Linked DNA regions of Callithrix jacchus. The protein of the gene in region 1 purifies or fractionates together with the protein of each later gene. This does not show direct contact. Links are inferred from orthologs where the notes say so. Each region holds a gene or a part of one and is shown on either strand. Other genes may lie near its edges.

Region 1 (2,508 bases):
TTGGGGGCAGCGGCTTGGATGCTCTGACCACAGCCCACATTCATGGACAGCAGCAGTGGTGTCCGGCCAGCTGTGTCGGAGAAAGCCTGGAACCAAGATTCAAACAAGGCGCTCCTCTGCCAGGTCCCGGAGGCTGTTGGAAGGATGGGCTTTTCTCCTGCGGGTGGAAGGCCCCCTCTGGTTCCCCAGGGTTGACTGACTCTTTGGAGGGAGGTGTGGGAGCCGTAGGGGCCCATGCCCAGCCTATGGCAGCACCCTGCCCACCCTTCTAACCCACCCTCACCTCTACAGGTGGTCCCTCCCGAATCCAGGCATCACCCACGCTCGAACCCACGACAGCAACCCCACCTGGACTCAGGGTCCCTGCCTCCTGGACAGCAAGGCCAGCAGCCCCGCAGGAACCCCCCCAGAGAAGGCTTGTGGCCACCCCCCTATAGACCGCGCAGAGACGCTTTTGAAATTTCTACTGAAGGGCATTCTGGCCCTAGCAATAGGGACCGCTGGGGCCCCCGCGGGACCCGTTCTCACAACCCTCGGAACCCAGCGTCCACTGCCATGGGCAGCTCCATGCCCGGCTACTGCCAGCCCATCACCACTGTGACGGCTTCTGCCTCCGTGACTGTTGCTGTGCACCCGCCACCTGTTCCTGGGCCTGGGCGGAACCCCCGAGGGGGGCTCCGCCCAGGCTACGAAGGCTACCCTGAGACTGACCACGGCCTGTTCGAGGACCCCCACGTGCCTTTCCACGTCCGGCGTGAAAGGAGGGATTCAAAGGTGGAAGTCATTGAGCTGCAGGACGTGGAGTGTGAGGAGAGGCCCCGGGGAAGCAGCTCCAACTGAGGAGGTGCGTGCCACCAGTGTCAGCAGCTGAGGGACCCAGAGCCAGGCAGAGAAGAGGCAAGGCTCTCCTGGGGTTCTCAGCGTCCCTGAGGGGCCCCGGCACTCAGGCCCATCCTGTGCTGGACCCCAGTGACCTTTTATCCCAGGGCAGAGCTGATGTGTTCAAGCTTTGTCATCCTTGGGGAACCAGTCCAGCCCCACACTGGGTCTCTCTTCCCCTGCTGCTGACCTGTGGAGGGTCGGTGCAGCGCCACAAGGACAGAGCAGTACCACCCTTTACCTGTTTGCCAATCTTTATTGGTCCCATGGGAACGTGTCTGTGTAAGCAGTCCCCAGATGAAGGGAGCAGTCACAAGCAGCCCCCCGGAATCCTCAGGCCCACACCCTACTCTCCTGATTGCTAACGCCAAGATCACTGCTGCCTGCTTTTGTTCTTTATTAATATGGATCCGCACACCTCTTAGTTCAGCTTCCTTTTTTGATTCTTTTTAAAGGGTGATTCTGAAGCAAAGAGGCCAAAGATTGGAAACCCCCGCCCCCACCTCTTTCCAGTACTGCTTGAAGAGAACTGCTTGGAGTTATGGAAGACGCCCTGCACCAGGATAGCAGTTCATTGTTACTGTAACCGCTTGTATTATTTTGTGAAATATTTCTATAAATATTTAAGAGGTGTACACATGTGTAATATAGGAAGGAAGGGTGTAATGTAGTATGATCTGGGGCTTCTCCACTCCTGCCCCAGAACGCGGAGGCCGCAGTGGGGCCTCTCCGTATTTGTGCGTTGGGCTCTGTGCCACAACCAAGCTTCGTCGGTCTTAAATTTCAGCATATGTTGCTGCTGCTTAAATATTGTATAATTTACTTGTATAATTCTATGCAAATATTGCTTATGTAATAGGATTATTTTGTAAAGGTTTTTGTTTAAAATATTTTAAATTTGCATATCACAACCCTGTGGTAGTATGAAATGTTACTGTTAACTTTCAAACACGCTATGCGTGATAATGTTTTGTTTAATGAGCAGATATGAAGAAAGCACGTTAATCCTGGTGGCTTCTCTAGGTGTAGTTGAGTGCGGTCCTCTTGTTTGGCTGTGTGTGTGAACATGTGTGTGATTTCACCATGTACTGTACTGTGATTTTTTTTTGTCTTGTTTCGATTCTCTGTACTATCTGTAACCCTTGTAAGCTCTGACCTAGTCAGGCTGGAAGCATCAGGATATCTTTTATTACTTTGTGCTGGTGAGGGCTGGCCCTAAACATCTGCCCAGTCCTTTCCAATCTGCCCAGCAAAAGCAAGACTCTCCTCGTGTCCACAGGGTCTCTTCTGATCATTGGCTGCCATCCAGGACCCCAATTTGTCCTTCAGGAGAATAAGCTCCTTCTCATGGATCATTGTGATGGATGCTGGAACCTCAGGGTATGGGGCTCACATTAGTTAATCATCGTGGGTGTTAGAGAATTGGGTGACATGCCTAGTGGAGAGCCTTGGCTGGGCCATGAGAATATACTCTAGAAAGCATGCAGCATTGAGCCCCTCTTACGACCAACACACACATGACCTGTCCCCCCACACCCCCAAATTCAAGAGTGGATGTGGCCCTGTCACAGGTTGAGAAACTTGTTCAGTTAATTCTTGGGCCACAGTCAACCCAGAAATGATGTTTGG
Region 2 (3,653 bases), on another chromosome or scaffold:
CCCACAGTGCCAGCCAGTGCTGCTTGGGTGCCCGGCACGGGCCTCGGCCACCTGGCTATGGTTTCCTGCTGGAATCAGATCAGCATAGAGAGGAGGTCTTCCAGTCTAACCCAGACTTCCTGCTCCCATCCCTGCTAGCATACCTCTAGTGACACAGAGCTCACTCCATGGCTGGGCAGCAGTGACACTAAAAAAGCCACTCCCTAAAGCTAGCCAAAATCTGCCTACAATTCTCACCCACTGTGTCAACTCTGGCTGTGAGGGCCATGGGGGCCATGTGCTCTCCTGCACCCACCCCTACTGACCCTGATGCTTCTCAGCCCAGGTGGGCCAGCAAAGTGCTATATAGCCCTCGGGAGAGGAAGAGCCACAGGTGGTGTGGCTCTCCTAGCTCCCAGAGAACAGCCTGAGACGGGCTGTGAGCTGCCTGGTACTGAGGAGGGCAGAGTGAAAGAGGATGACCTGCAGCCTGTCTGACCTCTCAGGAGTCCTAGCAAGGGGGCCACTGACGGACCAGACACCTGCCAGCTCAGGGCCTAATGAAGGCTGGCTTCTACCCTCCACACCAGCCACATAAGCAACCCCTTCCTCGCCCTTCCTTTTCCACACCACCCCGCGCTCACCTCTCGATGAATTTCTGGAACACGTCCCCTCGGAGGTTCTGACAAATCTCTTCGATGTATGGCTAAGGGAGGAAACTGGAAGTTTGTGACTGAGCCCCTAGAGACCATGGCTGCCCAGGCCCCACCCCCAGCTAACTAGGCTCTTTGACCCGGGCTGTCCAAGGTGACCTCGCCTGGGTGGGGACTGGGAGGCACATACCTGGAAGAGATCCGGAGGCACCTGCTTCTTTCCCAGGTGGCCCTGGACATGCTCAGTGGCACTCTTTGAGAAGGGCTGAGGAAGACAGAAGTGGCCATGAATTCTTCGCAGGGTGCTCTCTTCCCCTCCCAACACACAGGTGACTCTGGTCCAGCACGCAGGGCCAGTCCAGGACACTCACGTGCGAGCAGGCCAGCAGCTCCTTCATGATGTACAAGTCGAAGATCTCCCGGCTGCGGGCCACACGCTCCTCCTCCGTCTCCAGCTTCTCGTACTTCTTGATCTGGAGGACGGGATTCCCGCAGGTCATCTATAGCCCAGCAGGTCACAGGGGCACCTACACCAGGTGACTTGTGGATTCCACCAAGCTGCCCCATCCTCCTTCCCTTTCTCTGGCCAGAGCAGGGCCTAGACCTCTGCCTCACCTCCTCGTAGAACTCCACCAAGGGCCTGGCCTCCTCCAGGTGGTTCAGGCAGAAGTCTCGGAAGAGCAGGTACCCTGAAGGCAACCATATCAGGTCACAGAGCCACGCCTCTCTCAGAGCCCTTCCCATCATCGCAGATGGCATGGTTTGGGGCTCCCTGAGTAGAACTGGGTATGGAGGTGGCAGAAGTGGTCTCGGCCCCAGGAAGGGGGTGGACCAGGCGGCTGCTGCCAACTTGAAGACTCCTGGATTCTGGGTTGGGGCCCGTGTTTCTACCCTCTTCCTGAAATCTGTTTCCCCAGAAGGCAGCTGGATGGCGACGGGCAACCAGGGTTGGCACCCCCACTCACTACAGCAGGGCCCTGTGCCTGCTCTGTGAGGCCAACACCCCCCACCAGGGCGGGCTGTGCAGGTGCAACACGATCCTGTCTAGGGGCCCTGCGATGCTGTGGCCACCAGGGCCAGGTCAGGCTCCAGTATGCGGGGAAGGTGAGCAGGGGGCTCTGAGGGGCCACACCACTCCTCTGGACCCAGCCTCCCTCCATTGTCTGGCTGATTTGCCCAGCAGCCTGAGAAAGTGGCAGGGAGGGCAGGTCCAGTTGGGGAAACTGAGGCTCGGGGAGCTGGTCAGACACATTGTCTGTGGCAGAGGCTTGAGTGGAACTCAGGGCTCCTCCACTAGGTAGCAGGTCCCAGGGAAAGAGGTTGGGGGCTAGGGGCTCAGGGAAGGGGGTATGGAAAGGGGATGGGCCACAGGAAACTGGAGAGGCAACGTGGGCTGTGAGAAAGCTCTCAGGAGACCCCAGATAGAGACAGGGTGTCCTTATGCTTGAATGAAAGGCCTGGGCCCTGGGACCTGGTCCCTGAGCGTCATCACTGCCTGGCCTTTAGGGCAGGGTCCTTGAGGAACAAGGAGGAGCTTCACAGTGGGCACAGTGCTCTCATCTGACCCTGACAGGCCTGTGCAGTGAGACTCATGAGTCCCATCTCCCAGATAAGGACACCATCAGCTCAGAGAGGCGAAGTAACTGGCCCAAGGACACGTGGCACAGGCCTGGGACCCAAATTTTGTGCTTCCTGATACACTGACTCCCCCGGGCTGATCTCCAATGCCTGATCCTATTGGGCCAGGATACTCTCTGTCCAGAGCTCAGCTCCTGTTCTCGGGAAGGCCAAATCAGAGCCATGTGCGGCTGGCACCTGCTTCCTTGAGACCTGCCCCAAGCCTGCCCTCTGGGCCAGGTCCACAGGGTGGGTCACATATGACTCCTGACAGCAGGCATCAGACACCAGCTGGAGAAATGGAGGGCCAGTGCCAGGCAGGTTGCTTACAAAGAGGGCCCATGGGGTGGGGCGGGGCCAACCACAGCTCAGCAGGCTCCACAGGAAGGGCCCCGCCTCTTCCTGTCAGTTCCACCAACGACCCAGAGCAGCTGCGGCAGCGCCAAGGGGAAGCTGCAACTCTCGAAAACAAAAACCCCAAAGGAGGAACTTCCCTGACGGCCCTGTAAGACTCTGGGCCCCCACCCCCACCACGGGGCTCCCTGGGCTGATGGCCAGGGTGTGGGAGGCATGCGGGGTCACCGAGACTTGGAGCAACCCCTGGGGTCTCACTGAGTGGATGGGAGGCCAAACCTCCAGAGAGTGGGGAGCACAGGTGGGCCGGTTGGGGTAGGGGCAAGAAGTCAACCCCAGTGGCTGGCAGAGCCGCTGCCATACTCACCCAGCTTCTGGGAGAAGATCTTCTCAAAGGTCACTTCGCCCCGGTCCTCCAGGTACTTCTGCATGACACTGCGGATGCTGAGGGATGAGGGGCACAGTAAGCAGAAGCCCCAGAGCCCTGTCAGGGCTGTAGGCCCAGAAACACGAGCTGAGGGCGCTGCTGGTGGTGTCACTGCCCCCTCCAGGAAGGAGGCCACCCTGTCAGGTCTACTTACTTATCCCAGCCACAGGTCAGACCAGAGGGCTTCGAGGAAGCCTTTGCCTGCACCACCCTTGCCAGGCTGTGTCCCCAAAGGCCAGGGTGGCCAGCAGGTGGCCCCTGCTCAGAGGCCCATGGCCTGTGGGGTCTGGTCCCAGTGCTGCCACTGGCTGGCTTTGGGAACTTGGCCAAATCACAAAAGCCTGATTTGTGACCTGATGAACAGATACACGTGGCATCTTCACAAAGTGGCACATAGCTCGGCCATAAAAAGGAACAAGGCACTGACAACGGGCCACCACATGGATGAGCCTTGAAAACATGAGGCTGAACGAAGCCAGTCACAAAGGGTCGTAGCATATTGAGAGATTCCACTCATGGGAACAGATCCACAGACACAGAATGCAGATCCGTGGCTGCTGGGGCTGGGGAAGGGAGAGGGGTGAATGCTGGTGGGGAATGGGGTTTCTTTTTGGATAAGGGTT

What was found. Proteins that work in one complex are often made in the same cells at the same time.
Region 2: the proteins of PTCH1 (region 1) and GRK2 purify together in Homo sapiens (affinity purification with western blotting; 3 studies listed by BioGRID and IntAct, with this or other methods). This does not show direct contact. The link is inferred for Callithrix jacchus from reciprocal best matches to the Homo sapiens genes PTCH1 and GRK2.

The regions. Positions count from the first base shown.
Region 1 is NC_133502.1:78,815,149-78,817,656, reverse strand, and holds part of PTCH1 (protein patched homolog 1), read left to right. Parts: intron 1-291; coding exon 292-840; 3' UTR 841-844; intron 845-1,334; 3' UTR 1,335-2,508.
Region 2 is NC_133511.1:124,362,406-124,366,058, reverse strand, and holds part of GRK2 (beta-adrenergic receptor kinase 1), read right to left. Parts: intron 3,048-3,653; coding exon 2,971-3,047; intron 1,322-2,970; coding exon 1,248-1,321; intron 1,106-1,247; coding exon 1,004-1,105; intron 898-1,003; coding exon 823-897; intron 686-822; coding exon 624-685; intron 1-623. UniProt on the Homo sapiens protein: Specifically phosphorylates the agonist-occupied form of the beta-adrenergic and closely related receptors, probably inducing a desensitization of them. Key regulator of LPAR1 signaling.